Linked DNA regions of Caenorhabditis elegans. The protein of the gene in region 1 purifies or fractionates together with the protein of each later gene. This does not show direct contact. Each region holds a gene or a part of one and is shown in the gene's direction. Other genes may lie near its edges.

Region 1 (7,325 bases):
GATTATTTTTTTTTCAAAAATACTTCAAAACTTAAAAAAATTGGATGACATAAATTACAAAATAAAAATACACTCACCCTATAAACCGATAAAAAAGCTATTCTGCATTGATCGTAATCGTGAATCTGCCATGCTGGAATATCAGCTTTACTTTTTGGATATTCCTGCAAAAGAATTGATAATTTCTATAAAAGCAGCAAAAATCACCATATTGAACTTATAAATTGTGTGTTTCCAGTCAAATGCATGCATTGCAATATCTTTGCAGTTTGTAACAACTACATGATCTCCACAATCAGTTTCTGGATGGAAAATTGGTTTGTGTTTCCCTGCGAGATATCGAGCAACTTTATCACCAAGAAGTTCGGCGTCCTGGAATTAAATATGAAATAAAAATAAATATATTCATGTTGTTATTATGTTTTTCTGTTATTCGAATGTACATTTTTGTTTTCTGGTAATTTTTTTTTACAAAAATGGACTTTTTCGATTTTTTTTCCAGATTGTTCAGAGGAAAAAATTGAAGAGAGAATGCGATTTTCTGTAGTTTTCAAGATTAAAAAAATTAAACTTTAAAATAATCGTGCCAAATTGGGTTTTGGCGGACTTACGACATTATAATATAAGTGGAAAAAACTGAGTAATTACTACAATTTGCGTGCTAATAAAATAAATTCAGGAATTTTTTGAAAAGCTTTACTATTGTGTTTGGTCATTGTTGAATTATTTTTTATCAGTGAGCAATAATTTGTATTATTTGAATAACTATGTGTATTAGAAAGGATTGCACTTATATTATTACTTAACACTTCCATTTGTCAACAACATGTTTTCCCATTTGATCGTCGACATGTTTACGTTCAAACATTCAAAAAAACAAAACAAGAGGCTTAAAGGTATACATACTTGTTGATTCGCATCAATCACGTGCCATTGTCTCGAAAACTGCAGCCATTGGTTAACACGGTCAAATCGAGAAACGGCACGCCGGTAGGACATCTGATTGTTTGTAAATGATTTTCAAAATGTAATTTCAACGAATAAATGATATAATAAAGATATTAGAGGAAATTTACCTCAAAAGGAAAAATCAAAAAGAAAAAGCAAACATCAAAGGATTTATACTCGAAAATGAGAAGGGACCGAACCAGAATAGTGAGAAAAAAAAGAATATTAAAGAAACAATTACAAAAAAAAAAGAAAAGTTCATAGAACAGAATTCGAAGAGAGCGGAAAGAAGGAATTTGGGGTGATATGATCACACAAAATTTACAATTTTGGACAGCATCTAATAATCTTCTAGGAGAAACGAAAGCGGTGTTGCATTGCTGCAAAATAAGAAATCTTAGATTATTTTTTTGGATGAAAGTATGAATACACGTGTGTGAGCAGTAAAAATTCGAAAATGAGCAGGTGCGATCACCAGACGATTTTGTTTTTAAACTCGGGCAGAACTGAGAACCGTTTGACACTTTCATAGGCAAGCATTACAAGACTTGAATAGAGAGCATTATTCACCATACGCGGTGCGAGACCCTGAAATATTAAAAACATATATAAATGTATTTAACTAATATTTTTCGTGAGCTCAGCATATTTTACGGATACTTATTTGAAGCAAAAAAATGGTGTAAACATGTTGATTTCTGAGCTCATTTTCTAAATTTGGTATATCTTGATTTGGCAAAACCATACCTTGGTGAATACTTGTGCTTTCTCATACTTCCATAGTCTAACAATCGTTTCCCTGTACGTTGTTCGATGAACCTGAAAATATTTTAATTTCATTGAATTAGATTACTAAAATTCTTACCTGTAACCGAATTCTCAGCATCTCCAATGGATTTGTAACCATTGCACTAGCGACTCCGCCAATAGAACCGCTCACAGCTTGGTCCAGGAACAAATTCCGATCATCAACTTCGGAAGGAGATGTTGGTTTCACTCCATATTCAAGTTCAGTGACCTGAATTAATAATTGACTTAATTCAGTTTAGCATAACTTTAACCTACTTTTTCACGAATCATTCTGAACACTGCTAATGAATTGTAATATGTAGACCAGAAAACCATTGTTGAAGGAATATACAACATGATTGCGGATAGGAATCCTCTGAAATTTTAAAATATGTCATAATTGAAACTGTAAAATATAAAAATACCTATAAAAACCGAAAATTCCATCAACTTTGTACACGGCCCTGATAACTCTCAAACCTAACGTTCTTCTGCCTTCGAGACCATCTTTTCTGATTGCATCTGCTACTGGTATATTCTTCTCTCCACCTAAATTATATTCTTCAGAGCAAACATTTCAAAAAAGCGATTTACCTCCAAATGCTTCTGGATTATTATGAACCATCATATGTTGAGCCACAATGTCAGTTGGTACAAATATTAGCTGTGCACAAGGAGAAGCGATTCCTCCGGCTAATGCAGATACCACAGAGTGATTAGTAATATGAAGATGGGTTTGAAGCAAGTCTCTGACTCTTTCATAAGCTGATGAATATAAAAATGAAGCTGACAGCTGGGGAAGTGTCATCCAGAATCCCTGAAATATTTTAAATTTCAATAAAACATCCGGTAACTAAAACTAACTTTATACAAAGCGCCGATTCCTTCTTGACGAATGATTTTAACAAATGCATCTCGCATTCCGTTATACACATTATTTTGTCTCTGTAGTTGTAGTCTGCTCTTCACAACAGACATTGGATACAGCATGCACCTGATTGTCCATGAACTGCACAGAGCCATTGGATAGAATTTGTACAAGTTGAGATGTTCCCATTGAATTACTAAAAGCTTGTCCTTCTGTATTTGACTCAGTGGAGATACTTTCGAGTTTAGCGGGGATGTTGCTATTGACCGAGCCTCAATCGCGGTGTCCATTTCAGACGAAACCATCTGTAACATCTTATGAACATTAGAACTTTTAATATCGGATAGAGCATACCTTTGCGAACCGCATGTTCTAATTTTAAAATCAAATAGTCGATCGTTTGGTCTTCAAGGCAAAAACGAGCAAAGTGTGAGAATCGGCTTAGAATTGAGCATCACCTGGAGAGTTTTTTCGAAGGAACTTCAAGCGGATATTTTGATAATCTGACTAAAACAGGAAAATACGTATTTTTTAAAATTTTATAGAAAAATAGACAGATGGAGAGAAAAACATCAACAAAGAACGAGTAGTTTAAAAATGTTCACCAACAAAAAAGAGGCACCGCATTACGGCGAGGGAGTGTGCTATTGAGAGAGACACAGCGTCGTAAGAACGGAGCATCGTAATGCGCCTTGTTTATTTTTATTCAAAGTTTAAAATTCCATTTTAATGTTTTGTTTTCCGTTTTCGGTAACGCTCTTTCAGCTTTTATGAATTTTTTCGTTTTATAGTTGGTTATTGTTCAATTGAATGTTTATAGGGTATGATGAACTATCAATATGACGTCTCTGTCATAATTCCAGCCAAAAATGTAGAAAAGTTCTTGCGGGAAACACTCAACGGTCTACTCGACCAGACAGCTTGTGAAAATTCAAAAATTGAGGTTAGAAATGCGTATGGTTTTGTTTCTTCTAATTAATAAAAATATCTCAGATTTGTTTGGCTGACGACGGGAGTGTAGATGACACTGTTAGAATTCTGGAAAATGCGCGGCTCGAGTTCGAAGAGATGGGAATGAATGTCGTTGTTACACACGTTCCTCAACCCGGTGGAGTTGGTGCCGCTAAGGATTGTGCTGTAAGATCTTCGAAAGGAAGATATCTCTGTTTCAATGATGCAGATGATGTCAGCTCTCCGAACAGAATCAAAAGCCAATTGGAGTTGGCAACGAAGTTATCGAAGTCTGGAGATGATTTAATTTTTGTAGGTGAATAAATTGAAGTTAAGTATAATACGATCCTAACTGTTTGTTAGGTGGACAGTTTCATAGACTACCAGAAGGCTCCACAACAAGATACACAAAATGGGCGAACTCGATGATCGGAGACAAAATCAGAAGTCAAGTCTACACATCTCATGGTCCCACGCTCGTTGCTCCTACTTGGTTCATTAGTAGAGCACTTTTCGATAAGGTTGGCGGTTTTCGAACAGATGTTTCGTGTGGTTTTCCTGAAGACTTAGAATTTTTCTACAAGTGCTTGGATTTCCCGGAGTGTATTTTTGATAAAGTAAGTAAATTGGCAATTTTAGCTGGAAAGTTAGCTTGAAAAAAATTCATTTCAAAATGTGTGTTATTTCAGGTCGATGATGACATTGTCATGTACCGATACCATAAAAACTGTGCATCACACAGCGTTCAAGAACAAACAATTTGGAATTTCCGTTTATCGAGATTAAAAGAGAAATACATCGCAAAATGGGACAAATTCACAATCTGGAGTGCTGGGAAGCAAGGAAAACGTCTTTTCAAGTAATGGTTTATGCTTGAAAACATTCTTTCAACATATACTACATTCTTTAGAAGTCTCACAGATGACGAGAAGATCAAAGTCAGAGAATTTTGCGATATTGATGAGTCAAAAATCGGGAGAGGTGTTCATGAAGAGTTTGATGAAGTGTCACGCAGTGTGACTCACAAAGTTCCAATTGTTAACCTTGAGTATGTCTTCACTTTCTCAGTTTCTTACTAAACGTATTATTTGTTTTAGAAATGCCAGGCCTCCGCTCGTCGTTTGTGTCAAATTGGACTTGACAAATGGTGATTTGGAGCGTATAATTGAACGAAAAGGCTGGAAAGAGCACGTCGACTTGGTTTACTTTGGTTGACAGACTGCTATCCGATACTTGATATAATAAACAATTTATCCGTTTAAATTTTGCATTTTGCGTTGTCTCATTGGTTCTCAGTGACTCCAATGTACTTTGATGTTGCAAATTTTTGTGTCTGGTCATTTTTCTCCCTCGTCGTTATCATTTTTCCTAACAGAACATGGGAAGAGATTACTAGGTGTCTCTGCGTCTCGTGTCTCCGAGTGATCTCTAATTTTCTCGCTCCGTCTGCTCGCGTCGTTGGAAAAACGACTCTGGCGCGAGTTAGTTTTCCTAATAGACGGCTTCTCCGTTTAGCTTCTTTAATTTATTTTATTGTTTTTCGGCAAAGTGGTTCCCTTCAGCTCTTTATTCATTGATTTTAAGTTTTAGATGGTGTTCCAACCAATCCACGAGGAAGAGCAAGTTTTCGTCGACTACGCCATTGAGTTGGTTAAAAAAGCTGGAACGGTGAGTTGAATTCGGATTAAAAAATCAAACTGTTTCCTAAAACAACAACGTCGTTATTATCTTTGTCTTATTTTTGTTAATTTTACAAATATGCACATTTAAATCAAATGCGTAACTCGAAAAACAACATTCTCTATTCCTCAGTTACGAAACAAATTTTATTATTTGAAAAAACATCAATATTCGAAAAAAACATTTTCAGCTCGTCCGTACCGCGTTTGACTCCCCGGAAAGCAAGGTTGACACAAAATCATCGAATACTGATTTGGTGACTGAAACTGACCAAGCTGTTGAAAAGCTTCTCATCGAAGGGCTCTCCGAGAGATTCAAAGGACATAGGTAAGAGCAAGGAATTCCCACGGTCCGCTCGATTTCACTCATTGTCTCCATGACAACCAGTTGGACTTTCTTTTTCAATCGAGTATTTACATAAATTTACTATTTTGATTCAGATTCATTGGCGAGGAATCTGTAGCCGGAGGTGCGAAAATTGAATGGACTGATGCACCAACATGGATTATTGATCCGATTGATGGAACTACTAACTTTGTTCATAGGTAAGATTTTTTTTAAATCGGACTCTTCAAATAATGGCAAATCGCGTTATTTAATTTCTAATTTGGACTCAAATTTTTCTCGAAAAACAAATTCTTATGTTATTATAGAATCCCTATGATCGCAATCTGCGTTGGACTTGCAATCAAAAAACAAATTCGTGCTGGAATCGTATACAATCCAATCACTAATGAACTTTATCTCGCTCAACTCGGAAAGGGAGCTTTCAAAAATGGATTTCCAATCCGAGCATCAAAGAATCAATGTAAGTAATTGCACTTTTCTTGTCATGCACCCTGCTTTTTGAAGTGCTTTCAAAGGGAGTTCTCTGTCAATCTCTCGGTCTGCATAATCGTGTTCAGTTCGGCGATCGCTGGCTCGACATTGCCCAGTCAAACATGCGAAATCAAGTGATGGCTGGTGTGCGAGGGTTTGTTTTAATTTTTTGGTCTAAAATTGATTACTTTTTTACAAAAAATATACCTCCACACTTCCCGCGCTGGTTTTGCACGTTTTACTTTCAATTTTATTTACATTCACATAGAAACGTTGCAAATTCCAGTCATTGCGGAAAGTGTGCTCATACTTCAACTTGGCTCAATTCGATCTCCTGTTATGCAGAAATCATTTGTTGATTCTTACAAGACTGTTATGTTCGACAAACAATGTCACGGGTACTTATAAATATTTTTTATATTCTTGTCGAAATCTAGTGACTTTCTTGAACTGTGCGTTTGCAAATTTTTTGAAAGTTTTACTAAAATTGAGAAATGGATAAGATGGAAAAGTTAGATGTTGGATGGACAAAGTTTAATATGAAAAAAATCACGAGGATGATGTGATATTATTATTTTTAATATTGTTATACATAATAAAAGTTATTTGAAAAAAATCCAAGTTTTTTTTTCAGACACCGTTCGTTTGGCTCCGCCGCGATCAACATGGTGATGGTTGCACAAGGAAGTTGCGATGGATATGTTGAATACGGGATTCACGCTTGGGATGTTGCTGCTCCTTCTATCATTGTCACAGAAGCCGGAGGTGTTGTCACTGATCCAACTGGATCCCCATTTGACGTCATGTCAAGAAAAGTTCTCTGCGCTGGAACAGCTGAACTCGGACGCGATTTATCTGCATGCCTCACTCATGTCGATTTCGAGCCGGAAGCCTAAATATATATTTAACTATTTATTTTCAAAACTCACATATTGTGACATAACATTCCTACCATAACATGCATTATCTGTATTTCCAATTTAATATTAGTTTTTTGATTTTATTTTCTAGTCGTATGTATTCTCGTTTTATGAGAATAAATTATTTAAAGATGTTTATATCTTAATTTCTGATACTTCAATTGCCGTTTGAGCGCACTTGATTTATTTATACTGTCTCTTTTTTAATAATTAAACTCAATATTCAGCTCTCACAAGCTCAACATCATGGCTTTGGCAGAGGAGGACGTTCACATGATCATCAAGCAGGTACCGATATTTTATATGTCTACTGTATTAATTCTTTGAAAAACTATAATTTTTGAGTTGAT
Region 2 (7,894 bases), on another chromosome or scaffold:
TTTTGAATTTACATAAAGCGTTTTTTTTTTTGGAACAACACTATTCTATTGATACACTTGAGAAATCCTAATGTTTTGAAGTTTTGGCCACGAGTTTAATGCAGGTGGAATTGTTAATTTTTGGCAAAGATAGAATCACGAGGAAATTTGTCATCCCTAAATAATTTTAAAACTTATAGTTAGCAGGTGCAATCAAATGTAGTGTGTTTTCAATAAACCACTGACTCATTTCATTTATTTCAATTTAATTTAATTCAGGACATCCCTCTGATTCCTGAAGATTTCATGGTGATGTGGCCGGTGGAATCATCCGAGAAAACGATCAAAGATGAGAATAAATTCGAAACGGTAAACAAATTACTTGGAATCCACTCCTTCCTGTTCACTTATGATTCTTGTTTCCAAGATTTCATCGAATCAGATTGCAGACCACAATATTGGCCAAGACTTCAAGACAGTCGTTGAATCAACATGAGACTGAAAATGAGGAAGTGTTTTCTGATGACAATCTGAAAATGGAGCGGGTGGCGAAAGCAGGAATCCGGCCAAAACTTCAACTCAGCAGCCGGCTTTGGGGGCGTTGAAGGTGCAGAAATGAGATAGTTGATACAATTTTTCTTTCCTCCAGTCCTTGTACTTTTGGTGAAATAAAGCTGTTTTGTTAGAGCTGTGATACAAAGTTTCCATCATACAAACAGTCTATTTTCTGTCAACCGAGTATAGCTTAAAAAATTAAAGCGTTTCAACCACGTCCCGATTATTTAAATTTATAATCGAGCAGTTACTAATAAAGGAAATTCAAGTCTGGTTACACCTTTTTTTGTTAAATTTTTTTTTGAAATGTCAGAAGAGATGCTCAACAGTGGGATACTTTTTTATAATTGCAAGACGTGCCTAATCCTTTATATAAGGTTTTGCATTGGACTTCCTTAAACTTAACACTTGTTACATCTTGGAGTTTTCTAAAATATTGTCAAGGTTATTTTGTCATAAAACTATTTTAGTGCACAATTATTCCATTGATTAAAATGCATGTTCAGTAGGTTGATGTGTGCCCAAATTTATTTCTACGCCTTTAAATGAACCGTGAAATAAACCTTTTAATTTGTAATAAAATTTTGCTAATCAGTTTTGATCAAATAAAATTTAGTCCAGTTTTAAGCTCTAGTATGTATACCTGGCCATTCACAAATTCAGAATTTGGTACAACTATCACAAGCGCAGTATTAAAACTGGTTTTGTCTAAAACACTGTACATAAAGTGACATTCAGATGTGTATGTGCGTGATTTCCTGCAAAAATTGTATACCTGAATGTAACGCAAGCAGACCAGCTAACACTTTGCATAGCGCATCGTTTCCTGATCGAATAATAATGATTCACACCTATTATCTATTATCCGCGGTTAGTTGGTGAAAGGAGATGAGGGGATTCTTGGCAAATTCTCGTTTCCGACCAATTCGCAGTCTTTATCGTCTTCCACAATTTCTTAGTATTATTCGTTTTTTGCCCTGCGTGTCGGCCCACCATTCATTTGCCCTTCCACAATATCTTTCGTCACACTTTTCTGTCCAAGCGTGAACCTTTGCTATTCAAGTGCACTCAAGCGAATTGCCAGCATTACAGAAAGTGTATAAAATGATTATAAAGACGGGTGTGAAAACTGTGTATTCGCAAGATGAAAAAGTGTGGACTTTTGGTTAAAGCTAGTGGAAATTTTTATTTATGTTTTAATCGTTCAATGACTCATTTTTCTTATCAAGGGGTTTTTGCAAGATTATATAAGTTTATGATTTTTTTTCATTAAAGTTCATTTTTTAAATTGCGCAAACATGATTGATACGTGAAAAAATGAAAAGATATATTTTTTAATTTTGCTTTACAAAATTGTATTTCGGGGGGCGGATAGCTCAGTCGGTAGTGGTGACCGCTAGAAATCTGGAGGTCATAAGTTCAAGTCCGGCCTCACCCCCTAGGTTCACCCAGCCACTATTGGGCTTAATGGTATTATGCCTATCATAATTTGTAGTCCACAAAAAAATCTTTGTTTGCCAAACTTCATTAGCTCGAATGCTCTTGCGACCACTGTTAAAACATTAATTCGTCCAAAGTAGTTTAAGAGTTATTCTATATGCCGGCGGTATTATTTTTCCACTAAGTTTCCCAAATATTCTATAGTTGAGAACCGAAGTATTATAAAATTACAAATAACTGTTGCGTTATTTCTGACATTGTTTCTGTAGTTTTTGAGATTTTTTGCCCACAAACTCCATCATTCATTTAGGTCTCCATTCTTACAAACAACATTTTGAAGTCGATTTGAAAAGATAGTCACATGAACACTGATTTTGTAAAGCGTCACAAATATTTCCCTTCTCAAACACACCTAGTACACACCATTAAAAGTTCCACATTAGTTCTTGTTCTCGTAACTAGTTTTCTTTTGTGAAATTCCAGAGGAATCAAATTTTATGACAAGTTGAAAAATTAGGGCGGACGACGACGAGGTGAACACTAAATCAAAGACCATTGGAATCTTCAATGTTCTCCTGGTCAGTCATCGTAGAACATTTCGCTTCCTTATTTCAGTTTATTTTTCCTTGTGGTCTCTGCCATAGTCCCGTTTTGATTGAAAGTCTAGGTCCTTCAACAATGCATATCATACCCGATTCTCTTTTTTCATGCTTAGACAGATCTCTAAGCTTACGTAACAGGTTCCTTCCATTCGTATCGTTTTGCCCCATTTGACGATTTTTCTTTTTCACAGCTACTTTCTTGCCGCATTTGCATTAAATGCTAAACTAAGATTGATTCAAATATTAGATATGAAGATGTTTCGATGATGGAACTATTTGAATTCAGTGACTTCTGTGACTTTTTCTATACTGTTCTTGTAACTTTCTGTAAATTTTTACATAAACGGTATCTTACAGATTTGTCATGATTACAAACTGCCTGATATTACTGGCAATTTTGTTTGGATTTGCATCGACTCAGTATCTGAACTTAAACCTTCATAGACATCAAAGTTGTGCATGGAGAAAAAGTAATTATTAAACTATCGTTGTCACTTTTTTAATACTTTACGTGTTACAGGTTCTCACTGGAACCGCAAAATCGAGTTCCAGGGTGGCCACTCGGATAGTGGAGCGCTACTCAAGTCAACTGAACAGAAAGGGTGCTATGCAATTAGTGTGAGTTAGCCCCCAAGAGTGTTTTATTTTGATTTTTGAAAAACAATAACAATGCTTGATGATTGACGTTATTACAATAATAATAATAATTCATTTTCTTTAGGGAAAAGTGAAAATTCATGAGGATGTGAGCGACGAGTTGTTGATCTACTTGTCCGTGTCGACCACTGGTGACACTCAAAGACCACCGGAAGTGTGCAGGGATGCCAATCCGGACACTGGTTGTGGAGGTGTTGGATCATGGTAATGAGTTATTGACAGAAATATTAGGGAAATCATCAAGATTCTAGAGCTAGAAAAAACATTAGGAAATGAAAAAAAAGCCTTTTGAGCAGTTAATGATAGATGAACAGCTGTGAAGTACCTAAAAGTTTTAAGTTAGAGGTCACTCTTAAAACAAAAAGTATAACTATAACAATTTCATACATAAGTGTTTAACCTGCAAAATAAATTAAAAAAAAAGAACTGAAGAGAGTGGGATTCGAACCCACGCCCCCGAAGGGACTGGTGCCTTAAACCAGCGCCTTAGACCGCTCGGCCATCTCTCCACGTACTACGCTATCATAATTTGTCGTTATGTTATAACTTCAAACAACAAGATTTAGTTGTATTTCGATGATTACGAAATTTAAATTTTCGAACTTGAAAATTTGTTGTTTTGTTGTTTCCAAAAAATGACGTAAACACTGCTGTTTCAGTCTCTACTGCCGGCCATGTGATTCTTTGGACTCTCTCACGAAAATTCTCGGAGCTCAACTTGTTGTGAACGGCAAACCAGCAGGATGTGAGCCATTAAAAGTGAGCAACATCGTTAAAAAAAATTTACGATGCAGTCAATAACACTATTTTTAGAAAGGAGAATATGATAATGTTGAACTCCGTTTCTGCCTTCCGAAATTAGCTGCATTGTTGGAATGGCAGGGAATTTCAGAAGACGCGTTAGATCACATTTTAGCTGCTACTACTCAGGTTTGACAAAATGAAAATAATTATTGAAAGAAAAAGTGTGTTTCAGGAAGGAAATGGTCCACCAAAGCTTAGTCTATTTGTGACCGTTTATTTGTTCGACAAGGATATTAAACCTCTTCTAGTGTAAGTTCTGAAAATTAAATAGGTTTTAGCCAGATTTACAGTTTCATATACCATCTAACAACCATTCACTATATTCGAGACATATATGTCACATACATTACAGCTATATGAAAAATAACACTATTTTTCACGAGTAGAAAATTTTTAAACAAATAGAAAAATGAAATAATTTCAGCTCTCAACGAAAACTAGAATCTCGCATCCGTGAACTTCGCAAACTTGGCGCTGATGAGCCAGTTGACTCTCAAACTTATTGGAATCTGCCATTCAATCAAATTATCAAAAAGCAGTCAGTTTTCGTTGGATGTCACAAACTTTACGGAACCATTAGCTTGAGCGACATTCAAGCCAAGAAGAAATAAGAAAATATATTTGGATGAACAACGATGATAACTTCATGTTTATTCATTTCGTTTATGCGGGTTCATTTTTTGTGAATTATGAAATAAACACAATAAAAATTATGAATTAGATAAGCAAATTGATCTTGACATTTAATAAATAACAGTCAATCTTTATGGTGATACTGTGCTCAAAGACTCGTTGTGTAAAAAACAACAGTTTTGTCTGGTATCCTTTTGAGTATGTTTTTTTACATTTCTTCAATATGCATTTTATTCAATACAACCTCAATATTTTGCTAGCCTCAAAATGTTTCTGGGATTTTGTTCAAAGTATTCTGTATACCCTTTACTTCTAGAATTTTTATTCTTGTGTATACAACAGTACACGAATTCTACAGAAAAATCTTGCAAAGTTACTAATAGTAAGGAAAACTGGAACTATATATGTTGTTGGTTAGAGATCATAAAGTGATATTTATGTAACACATCTGTAAAACTTTATTGCATTTGTTCTCACTACTAGTTGAAGGACATAAGGCTTTTGATTCATTATTTTCCTTTTTTTTTACTTTTTTCCCCTTTCCTTTTCTTTTAATCTCTTCATCTTTTCAGAATCTCATAACCTTCATGACCTCGAAACGCCATCCGACAATCATTTCACATTGAGGTAAAAGTAACACGAAAAAGAAAGAAAAAACGAGAAAAGTGGTTTTGATGGCTGTCAGACTTTTATTACACATTTGTACAATTCATATCTATATTCCCCTTTCACCCCCACCGTCACTGTAAACTATTCTAAAATCCAGCTGAAAAGGGGTGTGAAAGAAGGGCACGTCCTCGTCGCTTACTTCATAAGCCATGACACCTTCATTTGCGCATCGGTTTCAGTCGCAGATGTTGGTCGTTTTCTTAGCTTCATCGTGTCTTTTCGTTTCCATTTCCAACGCGTTGGAAAACGTTGAGTTGGGAAAAGATCTGAGTGTAACTCTTGAACTCATCAAACATCAACCATGCAAAAGTAGGTTTACGAGATTTTAAACCAAAGCTTATTTGGTTTTCAGGTGGTAAATGGACAAAGAAGTTAGAATTCGAGTCTGGAAATGATAGGAGAGGCCCGAAACTTGAACCACAAGCCGATAAGCCAAACTGTTTTACTATCGGAGGCCAAGTAGAAGTTCTAGAGGTAAAATATTGTGCTTTTTGTTTTGTTAATATTCCGTGTCTTGAAGGAGGACTAACGGTTTGGATGATTTTGAACGTTCAAACCCAAAATGAGCTCAAATAAACGAGTTTCGTAAGGAAACTTCTGATAAATTTTTCAAAATTTTTTTATGGCGGTTCAAAATTTTGAAAAAAAAATACACTGATTTTAGCTAAAATCTCGATTTTTGGCAACTTTTCCGTGTCGCAGCGGGGGACGTAGTTGACTTTTTTGGAATCATCGCCCTTTATTGCATATTTTGGTAGTTTATCTCATCCAATTTCATTGATTAAGGCACATTTAAAGCCGACAGGTAACCAATTTTGATGATTTTTGGTTACCTATCGGGTTTAAATCAATGAAATGTGATGATAAAAAATTACCAAAAGATGCAGGAGGATAATTCCAAAAAAGACAACTTCGGACCGCTGCGACACGGAAAAGTGGCCGAAAATTGAGATTTTAGCGAAAATCAGTGTATTTTTTTTCAAAATTTATTCATTCCAGCCCAATTCGGATTTATACGTTCAAAATCGTCCGAACCGTTAGTCCGCCTTTAAGACCGTGTTTTTAAGAACATCAACACAATCTGTATCTTTAAATGTAGTCTGTACAATTTAAAAATCACTAAATTATACCTTACTGAATTATTATTGGGCAAATTGAATTTTTTTATGCCAACGTGACAACGTGACAACATTTTAAATCAATATCATTCAAAACTTAATGTTTTTTTTCAGTATTTGTGTAGCGTATCAAAAGTTTAAAAATTATCTTACCCTGAGAAATAAAGAATTCATCACAACTTCTTATTACTCTCTAAGTATATACTTTGAATGAACAATAAAGCTACATAAAAAAATAAATTGAAACTCTCTATTTCAGGACTTTGGCGGAGATTTCTCCATTTATCTTGAGCTGAAGAACACTGCCAAAAAAAATACTGTCCCAGAGAAATGTGTTCGACAACCTGAAAACGGATGTGGAGGATTTGGGTCTTGGTTTGTTGCTATTAATTAATGTTGTCATACAATATTGATTTATCTTTTTTTCAGCCTGTACTGCAATGCATGTGAAACATTCGGTGACAAATTAGGAGTTCGAGCACAGCTGCTCCTCGATGGTCAACCAATCAGCTGCGCTGACGGATTGAAAAAAGGCAGCTATGACAACTTGAAGCTTGCTTTCTGTCTTCCAGACATTGATGATGTCATCAGCTCACAAGGGCTTAGTAAGGAGTCATTCTTGCAGCTGATTCAGGGTGATGTAAGTCTAAAGGTCAAAAAAGCAAAAACTGGCTGGAAATTTCAGGACGGAAACTCTGTTCGTGCTATGGGGATCTTTGCTACAGTCTACGTGTTTGACTCTGACGTCAGCAAACAAATGGCGACTCAAATCAAAATCGAGGGTGTATACCGTAGAACCAAGTACAGTTTTTTCAAGGTAAATCACAAGCTGAATTTTTCTCTTTTTAAAAGAGTATTTCAAAAATGTTACAGGACACTCAACTTCCGGCTGAAGTCTACTGGTCTCTTCCATTCAATCAAATTATCAAAAACCAACAAAGCTACGTGGCATGCCATAAGATTTACGGAAACTTGAAAGTTAACCGTAAATAATTTGTGATTTTCTAACCTAATTTTGCTTGTCTGTAAATAAATTTATTATTTTTTGAAATTTTTTGTGACTGTAAATCATACGATTTGGTGGCCCATGAAACAGTTGACGTGAAATAATACGTGCAAAGGAAGATTTATAACAATCAAATTCAGCAAAGAAAATAACAAGGAAGCTATTTCTGTGGGTGGCAAAAGTTTGACAACACAAACAATTTTATGGACTTCAAACTAAACAGTATAAAAACTGAGACCCGGCCATTACTTTGTATTACATTTTTAAATTAGTCAAATATTTTCAGAGCAAGAACCTGTTTTATTATATTATGGGTTACACATTTTATCTTGCGAGCTATACTTAAAAACCGACTGTTAATATAAATGTTCCATGGAGCCTAAAAATGTATGATTTTGTTACAACTCATTGATAACCATAGTGCCGCTCAC

The links. The genes of interacting proteins can lie anywhere in the genome.
Region 2: the proteins of F13G3.6 (region 1) and gmap-2 fractionate together in Caenorhabditis elegans (co-fractionation; one large-scale study listed by BioGRID). This does not show direct contact.

What each region holds. Positions count from the first base shown.
Region 1 is NC_003279.8:7,300,791-7,308,115, reverse strand, and holds F13G3.6 (Glycosyltransferase 2-like domain-containing protein), read left to right. Parts: upstream 1-3,425; 5' UTR 3,426-3,428; coding exon 3,429-3,548; intron 3,549-3,598; coding exon 3,599-3,872; intron 3,873-3,919; coding exon 3,920-4,173; intron 4,174-4,245; coding exon 4,246-4,415; intron 4,416-4,466; coding exon 4,467-4,604; intron 4,605-4,653; coding exon 4,654-4,771; 3' UTR 4,772-4,816; downstream 4,817-7,325. Other genes in the region: mrpl-13 (Ribosomal protein L13), read right to left, coding at 78-164, 208-372, 907-999; F13G3.7 (SLC (SoLute Carrier) homolog), read right to left, coding at 1,420-1,536, 1,696-1,767, 1,814-1,966, 2,014-2,113, 2,163-2,286, 2,332-2,554, 2,602-2,919, 2,960-2,974; Inositol monophosphatase ttx-7, read left to right, coding at 5,147-5,224, 5,427-5,563, 5,677-5,781, 5,890-6,044, 6,089-6,209, 6,690-6,951; dylt-1 (DYnein Light chain (Tctex type)), read left to right, coding at 7,222-7,263.
Region 2 is NC_003284.9:12,938,306-12,946,199, reverse strand, and holds gmap-2 (GM2 Activator Protein family member), read left to right. Parts: upstream 1-2,933; 5' UTR 2,934-2,940; coding exon 2,941-3,046; intron 3,047-3,096; coding exon 3,097-3,194; intron 3,195-3,297; coding exon 3,298-3,437; intron 3,438-3,660; exon of another isoform or gene 3,661-3,742; intron 3,743-3,892; coding exon 3,893-3,992; intron 3,993-4,046; coding exon 4,047-4,163; intron 4,164-4,209; coding exon 4,210-4,286; intron 4,287-4,461; coding exon 4,462-4,648; 3' UTR 4,649-4,758; downstream 4,759-7,894. Other genes in the region: nssp-88 (Neuropeptide-Like Protein), read left to right, coding at 259-348, 429-584; gmap-3 (GM2 Activator Protein family member), read left to right, coding at 5,489-5,648, 5,692-5,813, 6,717-6,832, 6,887-7,097, 7,143-7,274, 7,331-7,450.